3 linked regions of the Callithrix jacchus genome follow. The protein of the gene in region 2 purifies or fractionates together with the protein of the main gene of each other region. This does not show direct contact. Links are inferred from orthologs where the notes say so. Each region holds a gene or a part of one and is shown on either strand. Other genes may lie near its edges.

The links. The genes of interacting proteins can lie anywhere in the genome.
Region 1: the proteins of POLR2D (region 2) and MED19 purify together in Homo sapiens (affinity purification with mass spectrometry; 4 studies listed by BioGRID and IntAct, with this or other methods). This does not show direct contact. The link is inferred for Callithrix jacchus from reciprocal best matches to the Homo sapiens genes POLR2D and MED19.
Region 3: the proteins of POLR2D (region 2) and POLR2M purify together in Homo sapiens (affinity purification with mass spectrometry; 3 studies listed by BioGRID and IntAct, counting the BioPlex papers as one, with this or other methods). This does not show direct contact. The link is inferred for Callithrix jacchus from reciprocal best matches to the Homo sapiens genes POLR2D and POLR2M.

Annotation. Positions count from the first base shown.
Region 1 is NC_133511.1:115,289,774-115,293,965, forward strand, and holds the start of MED19 (mediator of RNA polymerase II transcription subunit 19), read right to left. Parts: upstream 2,806-4,192; 5' UTR 2,773-2,805; coding exon 2,556-2,772; intron 1-2,555. Other genes in the region: TMX2 (thioredoxin-related transmembrane protein 2), read left to right, coding at 3,208-3,396. UniProt on the Homo sapiens protein: Component of the Mediator complex, a coactivator involved in the regulated transcription of nearly all RNA polymerase II-dependent genes.
Region 2 is NC_133507.1:36,558,485-36,562,813, forward strand, and holds the start of POLR2D (DNA-directed RNA polymerase II subunit RPB4), read left to right. Parts: upstream 1-1,528; 5' UTR 1,529-1,551; coding exon 1,552-1,624; intron 1,625-4,329. UniProt on the Homo sapiens protein: Core component of RNA polymerase II (Pol II), a DNA-dependent RNA polymerase which synthesizes mRNA precursors and many functional non-coding RNAs using the four ribonucleoside triphosphates as substrates.
Region 3 is NC_133509.1:3,678,501-3,682,620, reverse strand, and holds the start of POLR2M (protein GRINL1A), read right to left. Parts: upstream 2,806-4,120; 5' UTR 2,677-2,805; coding exon 2,564-2,676; intron 832-2,563; coding exon 184-831; intron 1-183.

The sequences.
Region 1 (4,192 bases), on a different chromosome or scaffold from region 2:
GAACTTCAGAGTACCATACCAATATTTGTTATTATTTCCCTCAAGTCATGATGTGGAAATAAGACTTGAGATAATGAAAGGCATCTTGGAGACCTAACATGTCCAGAAAACTTGATTTCCACCTCTTCAAACTTGTTCCTTCCTCATCTTCCAAGTCTCCATACCCATACACCTAATTATTCAAGGTGAAAACTTAAGAAGACATCATTCCTTCACTTTACTCTCTCCTTCACTTCTTCCCCTATTATCCAGGCTGGAGTGCAGTGGTGCAGTCACGGCTCACTGCAGCCTCAACTTCCTGGGCTCAAGTAATTCTATCACCTCAGCCGCCTAAGTAGCTGAGACTACAGGCACACATCACTATGCCTAGCTAAATTATATTTATTTTTTGTAGAGATGTGTCTCATTATGTTTCCCAGGCTTGTCTCAAACTTTCGGGCTCAAGATATTCTCCCACCTCGGCCTCCCAAAGTGTTGGGATTACTGGCATGAGCCACAGCGCCTGGCCCTATATTCAACTTTTCATCCCCATCAGCTCTACCTCTAACATCCTGTATCCATTTACTTCTCTATGCCCTGCTATGCCCTGGTTTGAACCATCATCTTTCCTGGACTATGAGTGGTAACCTCTGACTTCCCCACTTTCTATTTGTCATGTGGCTGCTTGAATGATTATAAATAAGTAAATCTGACCAAGTTCCTGTGTTAAAATGGCTTTCCTTGGCTGGGCACAGTGGCTCACGTCTATAATCCCAGCACTTTGGAAGGGCAAGGCAGGAGGACTGCTGTTGGCCAGGAGTTCAAGACCAGCTTGGACAATACAGTAAGACCCTATCTCTACAGAAAAATTTTAAGTTAGCCAACCATGGTGGCACATGCCTGTCGCCCTAGCTACCTGGGAGGCTGAGCTGGGAGGACAGCATGAGCCCAGGAATTCGAGGTCACAGTGAGCTATGATTATGCCACTGCAGTCCAGCCTGGGTGACACAGTGAGACTTTGCCTCTATAAATTTTTTTTTAAACGGCTTCCTTTGGTATTTGCCATCTAAATGCCTTTATTACTTTATAAAGGCCTCTGCCTAACTCTCCCACCTTTCCTTTTGTCTCTCTCTCCTAAGACTCTTTCCTTTCGTTCACTTCACTGGAGTCCAACTGATTTTCTGTCCCTCAGATATTCTAAGCGTTTTCTCACATCAGGGTTTCTGACCTCATTACTTGTATCTAGTATTATCTCTCCCTCCTATCCATCCATAGCTGGCCCTTTGTCTATGCTTATATTTTAGTTCAAATGTTAGCTACATGGAAAGAGCATCTCTGGTCACTCTAACTAAAGTAGTTCTGCCCTCAACATTTTTTTCTTTTGAGAGATGGTCTCATCTGTTGCCCAGGCTGGAGTGCAGTGGCACTATCTTGGTTCACTGCAGCCGAAACCTCCTGAGTTCAAGAGAATCTCCTCCCTTAGCCTCCCCAATAGCTGGGGCTATAGGCACGGACTGCCGTGCCTGGCTATTCTTGTATGTTTTGTAGAGACTGGGTCTCGACATGTTGCCCAGGCTGGTCTCAAACTCCTGGACTCAAAGGATCCTCCTGCCTGGGCCTCCCAAAGCGCTGGGATTACAGGTGTGAGCAACACGCCTGGCCCCTTTCAATTCTTTATCATGTTTTCTCCTCCTAGAATTAATCACTCTCTGATATAATCTTGTTTACAATGCCTCCTCCACTGACATGTACATTCCAAAAAAAAGCAAGCATCTTGTCAGTCTTGTTCATAACTGTATCTCAAGCATTTACAAAAGTGCTTGGTACATAGGAACTCAACAAAATTAATTTTTGAATGAAAAGAGTTTGGTTTGATTCTTATCCCTTCTTAGAACAGACCAGGAAACGCCGGAACCTTAGAAGGAATAATGGCAACTTGCCCCAAACCAACAGCAAAATTAAAACTTTGGGTCCCCAAAGATATTAAATCAGGCCTCTCAAGTTCCTAACTGAAACCCTGGATCTCCTGGATCTTTTGTTTTTGAGAGGGAGTCTCGTTCTGTCGCCCAGGCTGGAGTGCAGTGGAGCAATCTAGGCTCACCGCAACCTCCGCCTCCCGGGTTCAAAGCGATTCTCCCGCCTGAGCCACCTGAGTAGCTGGGATTAAACGTATACGCAACCATGCCCGGCTAATTTTTGTATTTTTAGTAGAGAGGGGGGGTTTCATCATGTTGACTAGGCTGGTCTCGAACTCCTGACCTTAGGTGATTCGCCCGCCTCCGCCTCCCAGAGTGCTGGGATTACAGGCATCAGTCACCGCGCCCAGTCCTGGATCATTTTTTTAGGGAGACATAAACCAGTGTCACGGAGATTCACCGTCCCTCTCCCCCGCCGTTTGGTTGAATTCAAGTCATCCCTCTGCTTGTGAATCCTAACAGCGCTTCCGACTTATGGCTCCACAGTCCGAGTCTGTCTTTCTTAGGTTACCTGGCACCTCCGCTAGCCGGCTGAGAACCACGCCCATCACCTCCTCTCTAAGATTTGATTGGCTGGCTTTGGCAAGGCCGTGTACTCACCTGGCAGTTCCCTCATTAGGTAGAAAGGGCCACAGCCAGCTCCTGACTTGTCCGCGCCGGGAGGGGCCGTGGCTGCGGTGGGAGGCGGGGCCGTGCCGGGACCCCCGCCTGGAGGAGGTGGTGGCGGGGGTGGAGGCTTTCCTGGTCCGAAGCCGAGTGCGGTTGGGGGCGGTGGTGGGTCAGCCTGAGCCCCGAACAGTGCCGTGAAATTCTCCATCGTCCCCTCCGCCTCGGCGCTGCCTAGATGTCTGGCGTTGGTAATTTTCATTGGACAATGCTTTTAAGGGTACCGCCCTCTTTCTCAAGGAGCCTCTTGTCATTGGATGCCTCAGGCACCGCTTACCTTGTTTCAGCAACTACTTCCGTCGCCTTATGAGAACGTTTAGAAAGTGCTATTTAACCTTATTAGATTCTTCTGCTAGCTTCGTTTGCTACAGTCCAATAAAATGACTTAGGTGGATAAAGCGACAACTAGACTAACCAATAATATGTTAAATTCTTATTTGGGTTCTGACCTACCACAGCGTCCAGAGAGCTACATCCGGATTTAGAGGCGGTACATTTGAGATACGGCCCAATAGCAGTCTCTATGGTGAGGGAGGCGGGGCCAGACCTACAACGCCAATGAGCCCCGGCCCTAACGGCCAAAAAGATGGCGATCCTGGCACCTCTAATTGCTCTGGTGTATTCTGTGCCGCGACTTTCACGATGGCTGGCCCAACCTTACTACCTTCTGTCGGCCCTGCTCTCTGCTGCCTTCCTACTCGTGAGGAAACTGCCGCCGCTCTGCAACGGTCTGCCTACCCAACGCGAAGACGGCAACCCGTGTGACTTTGACTGGGTGAGCGTCCCGCGTCTTAGTACCCCGCGACCTTGACTGGGAACCCTGGGCTTTCCCTTTCTGAGGACACTTGAGGTTCCGAGCCTGTAGCGGACTTACAAACTATTAAGTACAGGGTCCGGACCATCATCAAGTCAGCGAGCGGCCCAACAGCTTCTGACTGCGGAGTCCAGGTTTCTTTCCATTTCACCATTCACACTAATCAACAGCCCTATGAAAACTCTACATAGACGTGTACAGCGTTTTACAGTGCCGCTCATTAAGTAAAGCCTCCTGAGGAGCCAGTAGGTAGACAAGGGAAGTAGTAATGTTCTTGTTTCATTGGTGAAGAAATGGATCTCGGTATATTTAGGCGACTTGCCCCAGATCACACAACTAATGAGTGCCTGGGACTTGAAACTGCTCTTCTGGCCACACTAGCTGCACACACTGTCAGCCGTTTCTTAATTCAGTAAACATTTCTAGAGTGTACACTCTAGGCACTCTGCTGGATCGTGAGGATGTGAAAGTGGATAAAATTTTGGGGCGATTGTAAAGGAATTGTAAAAAAAAAATACGTCGTAAAAAATCCGTCCCAAGCTCCTTGCTGTGTTTCCTCGGTAGGGGTGGAGGGACCGCTCAGAACATTAACTTAAAGCGCTTCGCCCTCTGCCATATAGCACGTGGGGGGCAAGGAGAAACTTCCCCTTGCTCTCTGAGGGTTTGTTCAAAAAATCAACCGACAAAGGGCACTTCAAAAGATATTTTATTTTAACGTGCATAGCATGAGGGAATTGTAGGAGAATGACCCAATGGG
Region 2 (4,329 bases):
TAATTTTTAAGGCTTTTTTTTGGGGGGGGGCAGGGTATCTCTCTGTTGCCCAGAGAGTACAGTGCCACTGGAGTATAGTGGCGCGATCATAGTTCACTGCATCCCTTAAGCGATTCACCCACCTCGGCCTCCCTAATAGCTGGGACTACAGACGCGGCACGCCCCGCTTTCTTTTTTTTTTTTTTTTTTTTGAGATGGAGTCTTGCTCTGTCGCCCAGGCTGGAGTGAAGTGGAGTGATCTTGGCTCACTGCAACCTCTGCCTTCTGGGTTCAAGCGATTCTGCTTCACCCTCCCCAGTAGCTGGGACTACAGGTGCGTGACACCACACCGGGCTAATATTTGAATTTTTGGTAGAGGTGGGGTTTCGCCATATTGGCCAGGCTGGTCTCGAACTCCTGACCTCGTGATCCACCCGCCTCAGCCTCCCCAAGTGCTAGGATTACAGGTATGAGCCACCGCGCCGAGCCGATTTCTATAGTTTTTAGAGGTGAGGTCTCACCGTGTTATCCAGGCAGGTCTTGAACTCTGGAGCTCAAGCCATCCTCCAGGCTCGGCCTCCCAAAGTGCTGGAATTACGGGCCTGAGCCACCGTGCCCAGCCCAATTCATTTTTTATTAAATCAACAGAGTTTACAATATGACCATCTAAATAAACATTGTTGACTAATGAGCCGAGATTGTTGACTAATAAGCTATGATTATTTCCTTTATTGTACAGCCTTTTGCCCTTTCTCCAGTGTTGAAAACAGCATCACTTTTCATTTGCTTTTTCTTTTTTTTTTTTGAGACAGAGTTTCGCTCACTCGCCCAAACTGGAGTGCAGTGTCGCAACCTCCACCTCCCGGGTTCAAGCGATTTTCTTGCTTCAGCCTCCCGAGTAGCTGGGATCACAGGCGCCCACCACCACGCCCGCCTAATTTTTGTATTTGTAGTAGAGATGGGGTTTCACCCCGTTGGCCAGGCTGGTCTCAAACTCCTGACCTCAGGTGATCCGCCCGCCTCGCCCTCCCAAAGTGCTGCGATAACAGGCGTGAGCCACCGCGCTCAGCCGTCATTTGCTTAATTTTCTACGCATCATCCAAATGTTCCAACAGACGTGTGGTTAAAGCCTTCGAATATCATTGTCCGCATGCTCAGAAGTATCAAATATCCCCCAGAAATCAATACAGTTTTAAAAGTTTAAGTCAGTAAAGGAAATTGGACCGGGCGCGTTCTGAGGCGCCAATCCTGCTTTCCATCAGCAGGCGTTCCTGCATCTCATCTGACCCTCTCTGCCCAGAAAGGCTTAGGGGCTGCCCCAGGACGTCCGCGCGGTGAGGCGCATTGGAGAAGAGAGAGAGAGAGTGCGGCGGACCCCAATCCCGCGCAGGGTACCCCTCGGCGGCTAGGAGTTTCCCAGACCTCACCAACCCGTCCTCTAGTCGCGCCGGGCCAGGCCCACCCTCGGCGCCCCGCCCACCCCTCGGTGCCCCGCCTGAGGCCACGCCCCTTCTGCTGCCGTTCTCCGCGCTTCCGCTTCCGGCAGCGTGGGTGGTGGCGGGCCGTGCGGTGATGGCGGCTGGCGGCAGCGATCCGCGGGCTGGCGACGTAGAGGAGGACGCCTCACAGCTCATCTTTCCTAAAGGTTGGGCTCGGGCTGCCAGACTCTCCCGCGCCACTTTGCGTGGTCCCCGCAGGCCTGGCGTTAGCCACGCTTCGCCCGAGGCCTGGCCTCAGCGGCGGCTCAGGCAAACCCTGGCGCGTTGTAGTGCTGGGGAGGAAACATGGAACCGGGAGGGGCCGCCTGGCCAAGTGGGTTATTTTATGTGATAGCAGACTGCGAAGTTCCGGCGGGTTGTGTTAAAGATAAATAAAGCCGGACACTCAGGTGGTAAGGTCAGATTTTAAACTAACTGTTGCGCTATGGAAAAGAGTCCAGCGTGAAGCGAACTCAGCTTCGATTAGTACAAAACCTCTGGGCGTTTTAAGGGAGAATTAGGGAATAGGTTGTGGTGAGCGGGGGCTCAGGGGAGTCAGGGAAGTGAGATATTTAAAAAACCGGGAAGACGAGGCTTGGTCCGTGTGAACCCACAGTGGTTTGTTTACTGGCGCACCTATCGAAGTTAGGCCCCTACCTTCCCCCTGAGACGGAGAGACAGGGCTGTCTTCAGCTGTTGGGTAGAACAAAAAATTATTTTGGTAGCCTTCAGTTTTCTCAGGCACGCACTTTAAGCGGTTTATGGTGATCAAGGGGAGGCTATTCTTAGGGATGAGGTCTTCAGCTCAAGAACTTTACAGTATATTGTATACAGCTATCTTACTCTTTATTGATTGTTTGAGATAGGGTCTCGCCCTGTTGTCTAGGCTGTAATGTAGTGGCAAGATCAGAGCTCACTGCAGCCTCAACCTCTCTGGCTCAAGCGATCCTCTCACCTCAGCCTCCCAAGTAGCTAGGACCACAGGTACATGCCCCCATACCTGGCTCATTAAATTTTTTTTTTTTTTGTAAAGGCAAGGTCTCACTATGTTTCCCAGGCTGGTCTCAAACTCCTGAGCTCAAGTGAGCCACAGCACCTGACCTATCTTATTCTTTTTTTATTTTTCCCCCACCCGAGACGGAGTTTCGCTCTTGTTACCCAGGCTGGAGTGCAATGGCGCGATCTCGGCTCACCGCAAGCTCCGCTTCCTGGGTTCAGGCAATTCTCCTGCCTCAGCCTCCGGAGTAGCTGGGATTACAGGCATGCACTATCATGCCCAGCTAATTTTTTGTATTTAGTAGAGACGGGGTTTCACCATGTTGACCAGGATCTCGATCTCTCGACCTCGTGATCCCACCCGTCTAGGCCTCCCAAAGTGCTGGGATTACAGGCTTGAGCCACCACGCCCGGCCCTAACTTACTCTTTTTTTTTTTGGAGACAGTCTCGCTCTGTTGACCAGGCTGGAGTGCAATGGTGCGATCTCGGTTCACTGCAACCTCCACCTCCTGAGTTCAAGCATATCTCCTTCCTTAGCCTCTGGAGTAGCTGGGATTTCAGGTGCGCCCAAGCCCTGCTAATTTTTGTATTTTTAATAGAGATGGGATTTCACCATGTTGGCCAGGCTGATCTTGAACTCCTGACCTCGTGATCCGCCCACCTTGGCCTCCTAAAGTGCTGGGAGTACAGGTGTGACCTACTGCGCGCACCCTCTTACTCTTTTAATGGGCTAGGTAGTACTTATTGATTGTACCTTAATGCTGTTTTTTTGTTGTTAGAGATAGAAGTTACTTCCAGTGTTTGGAGGGTTTTCTGGGTTTTTTTGATTTTTTGTTTTTTGTTTTTTTTTTGAGACCGAGTTTCGCTGTTGTTACCCAGACTGGAGTGCAATGGCACGATCTCGGCTTACCGCAACCTCCGCCTTCTGGGTTCAAGCAATTCTCCTGCCTCACCCTCCCGAGTAGCTGGGATTACAGGCACGCGCCACCATGCCCAGCTAATTTTTGTATTTTTAGTAGAGACGGGGTTTCACCTTGTTGACCAGCATGGTCTCGGTCTCTTTTTTTTTGAGACGGAGTTTCGCTCTTGTTACCCAGGCTGGAGTGCAATGGCGCAATCTCGGCTCACCGCAACCTCCGCCCCCTGGGTTCAGGCAATTCTGCCTCAGCCTCCCGAGTAGCTGGGACTACAGGCACGCGCCACCGTGCCCAGCCAATTTTTTGTAATTTTTAGTAGAGATGGGGTTTCACCATGTTGACCAGGATGGTCTCGATCTCTTGACCTCGTGATCCACCCGCCTCGGCCTCCCAAAGTGCTGGCATTATAGGCGCGAGCCACCGCGCCGGGCCGGTTTTCTGTTTTTTTTTTTAAGAGACAGGGTCTCACTGTGTTTCCCAGGTTGGACTGCAGTGGTTATTCACAGGCTCAGTAATAGCACAGCCTCAGACTCCTGGGCTTAAGCAGTTCTTCCGCAGCCTCCCAATAGCTGGGACTGGTGGTGCCCAGCCTCCTTTCAGTTTTTTATTTATGGAATGAGGGTCATATGTTTCCATAGGTAGATTTATGAAAGTTTTTGGCATGATAGAAATAATAGTTTCTTTTTTAAGGGATAACTAAAAAGATGCTTTTCTTAATTTGATGATACACAGATTTTTTTGTACTTGGGTTTTGTGTAGGTACTTTTTGCTTAGTGAGTTTATTACACTCTGCATATAATTTTTGATGAAATCAGGTAGTGTCTGGTACACATGAAAATTTTGCTGAATTGGATACAGTTGACTGTGAACAACACAGGCTTGAACTGCACGGTCCACTTATACGCAGGGCTTTTTCCAACCAAACTTGGATCAGGCTGTGAAACTGAGGATACAGAGG
Region 3 (4,120 bases), on a different chromosome or scaffold from region 2:
CTTTTTTTTAAAAGAAAAGGTTGCCCAACCTTCTCCAACTCCTGTCCTCAAGCTGTCTTCCCACCTCAGCCTCCTGAGAAGCCTGGGACTACAGACAAGCACCATCACAACCAGCTTCTCGTAACTTTTTAGGTTTAACAAATACTATGCCCCTGTTACAGGCCTGTTTCCGATGGTACTTACACATTGGTCTTAAATGTATGCAGCTGGGGCACTGGGTTTTTGGCTCGCGTTTCTAGCACTTCCATGTAATGAGGCTTCTTCTGAGTCGCATGAGAAAGGCCTGTCAAGTTCATGGCACCTGTGCTTTCTTCTGACTGTTGTTCACCCTGGTCTGCAATGCTGATCCCCTGTAACCTGTCAATAAACAGGCTGTCAGAGCTGCTGGAAGTATCTTCTGCTTGACTTGAAACACGATGCTGCGGGTGATGCTCACTAGCTTCAGACGAAGGCGGCGCTCCGTCTCTGTTGCTGGAAGCTGGGCCCTTACTCACTGCGTACTCAACCTCTGGAGTCTCTTCATCACCTTCATGAGTAGGACGTCCAAGTCCCTGGTTTCGTGAGGTTGTTTCAAATGACTTGATGTTATCTACAGAGGAACAGCCAGGAGCTAGTGATGAAGCATCAAGTATCTGGTCAGAATTCCGGGCCTTATCTGTATCGACATCCACCTCTGCAGTGGCTTCTTGCCTTAGCTGACAGTCTAAACTAACAGCATGAAACAGTTCACTTTTTCTTCTAACTTCTTCACGTTCTGCAATGGCAGCTTTCAGTTTGGCAACAGAGTCAAAAATCTTTTTACCTTTGTCGGGCAATTTGCAAATGAATTTTCTGTCAAATGGAAAAGAATACATATATATTACAGTCACGTTTTTAAACTTGACATACAACATTAAAGAAGCTAAGCATTAACTTGTAAGAAAAAAAGCCAATTTTTTAAATCGAATATCTGATTTCTAACTTCTCCAAAATGGGAATAAAACAAATAAATGGCCATTATCCAAAGAGCCCAAAAAACACGGGAATGCAGGAACAGAGAATATATGCCTCATTTGTCTCAGCAAATTAGAATTTCAGCAAAAGTACTTCAAGCATATAATAATCACGTAAGGCATTCCAAGAACCAGCAGTCATTAAATCTCCAAAATGTGAGGATGGGGTTGAGTGTGGGGATGGGTCTATTAGGTCAAAACTACTTTCATCATAATACCAAGATGTTATTTCCCTCTCACTTCCTCACATGGGTACAGTGGAGTTTTCCAGAGGCTACATGACATGTGATGACATCATTGTTCTAGAATAGAATGTGTGCTTGTGTATACTTACGTTTTAAAGACTTCAGCTGCATTTCTGATAAGTAAATGAATTTTGCTAGATATAACACATAAATAATTCCATGGGATGTCAATAATTCTTAAAGTATAAAGGAGTCCCAAGACCAGAAAGTTAATTCACTGCCATAGATTGAAAACCTGTTCTCACAAGGTCAAAACACCTGTCTGGACCCCAATCAAATATTTATCTCTTTTGTTGGATAACAGAGTTCCTTTTCTGATTCCCTTTTCTTTATAGAATCAATGGAGAGAAAAAATTAAACCCTGGGTCCTCTGTTCTTTTCGACAATGCATTCATTCTCACAACTGACAACACTACAGCTGAAATTCCTATGTTTTCTATATTTTTCCAATTTCTCTCTTTCTTGAGCCTCATGACTGCTTCTCCAGCTTTTGTTTGGTTTTCACTTAACCAAATGTCTGTCCTGCTCTCCTCTCACCTCCGCACACCCTAAGTAAAATCAACCTTGGATCTATTCCTCTCCCCGAATTTTCCTATTTTTTGCTAGTGGTGTTCCATATACATAGGAAACTTCGGCCATCTCTGCCAACTACATGTAAATTAGTCCATGCTTAAAGTTTTCCCAATTCCTTCCTAGTTCACTTCCTTACAACTCTCTCGTGGGGAGCCTCTCTGCAAGCATCCTTCTACTGTCCTCTGCTTTTTATTCCTTCAAACCATCTTTTGCACGAAGCTGCTGAACACAACTGCCCAAAACACAAAATCACTTTTATCACGTGGCTCCCCTACTAAAATCCTTTAAATCAGCCAGCTGAATGAGGGTCGAACTTTCCCGGCCTAATAAACAGCTCCTCACATCCCACTCTCCCCATTTCCTCCGGTTCCTGTAACCATAGAATCCAGACATGAAGCTGACAATCCGTTATGGGTTAGGGGCGCGGGCGGCCAAAGGCTTAGGATGCAGACTCTTGCTTCACGGAGCCAACAGAGTGCCCGGGAAAACACCACCAGCGAGGAGCTACTAACTCACTGCAGCGCTAAGGAGCCGTCCAGGACGAGTCGTCCTCGCAGGCAAACGTGCCTGGCCAGGGAGAGGGACGGCTCTGCGGCAGCAAGTCCTCTGTCCACTCGCCCGGAGGACTGAGGCGAATGTGACTGAGGCAAGGTCACCTTCCAGGGAAGTGAATGGAGTGAGGGAGGGAAGGGGAGCGCCCAGGGAGCTCCAGCTGAAGGAGCCTGGCAGTGACTCCGCGGGACCGCAGCTTACACGTTGCGCAAAAGTCTCTCCTGGCGCTTCAACATTTCCCGCAGCTCCACCAAACTCCGCTGCCCCAGGTCCTCGGGTGCTTGGGGCTCGAAGCCGCGGGGCAGCGAGGACATTCTGCGCAGGCTGAGGCTGGCGTGGCGGCGGGCACTCGGCTTCCTCAACAGGCCCCGCAGCTAGCGCCGGATCCGCGGCCGCCGGTGACTCCGGGGCATGAGCGGGAGTCGCCATTTTCCCGGAAGAACGGGCTCTTCTTCGAGCCGAATCGAGCTTTATTGAAATGCCGGAAACAAACACGGACCGGGAGAAAGGGGGCGTCCGGGGGGAAATCGCTGCAGGGCGGAAGTGACGTCATGACGCCGGCGCCGCGGCTTGGCGCCCTTTCCCCTCGTGTGAGCGTTTCACCCGTCGTCAGCGGCGCATCGGTTTGTACAGAAAGTGTTCTGCGCCAGGGTGACCTCACCAAACACGACGTGTTAGTCACCAAATAGCCACGTCCTCTGTTATAGTTGGAGTTTACGGAGTGGGGAAGTCAGGGGGACGATCAAATAATAATACAATAGTAACGTTGCGTTGGACACCTCGGAGGGTGTCTGCAAAGCGAGATTCCAGTGGAAACCTTAAGGATGAGCTGGCCATTAATGACGTAGAGGAGAGTGTGAGACAAGGCGTGGGAGACTCCGGCCTGCGTGTGGTGCCTCCTAGCCCGGCTTCGTGACGTCCGGAAATGTTCAGGTTGGACGGTCCCTTCTTGGGGCGCAACGGCGTTTGCAGCGGGACATTCAGGTGCTTCTGGCTGCCAGGCACTCCCAGATCATTGCAACAATCCGGAACGTCTCCCCCAACATACATGTCCAAGGCCCACAAGAGGTGAGGAGTGGGAGCGGCTGTACAAACCGCCTGACGACCTTTTCTAATTTCCTACTTTGCCAATAGAAAAACAGCGTCACGAAAACGGAAATAAATATTCCCAGGGCACAAAACCAGCGACAGCACCCGATTTCAAACCCAAAAGCCCAGCTGCTTTTCCAACGTACCAGTCTGAAAATCCCCGTCTTCACTTAGACCTATTTCCAAATGTGTAAAATTGTTGAAAAGACTTTACTTTACAGCTGTTGAGAAGAAGGCAGGTTCGTATCGGACCCAGCTTTTACCTTCTTGTAGTTCCTCTACCAGAGGTGCATCCCAGTAGAAAGAGTTGGAAGACATGCAGTCCCAGCAGATGTCACTTGGGAGGTTTGAAAACCCCATAACCTCCAAAACCACGCCCTCCCCCAATTTTTTTGATATAGAAGATTGAAGGTGTGTCAATCCTATGTAAGATGCTACATAAACACAAACAGCTCCGTCCCAAAGAGACAGACGATCTAGGTAAAAATCCAGAGCTATTCCAGGGAGCACAATTGCAACCATTTCTCTATTCCCAAAATCTGGTCCATTTTGATCAGACTCGTTAACATATCAAAACAAGTTTTCTCAGTATAAGACTTCCTGTAAAGGGCACTTAAACCTGCTCCAGCATTGACTGAATGAGAAATAGTTGAGTAAGTTCCTTGAATC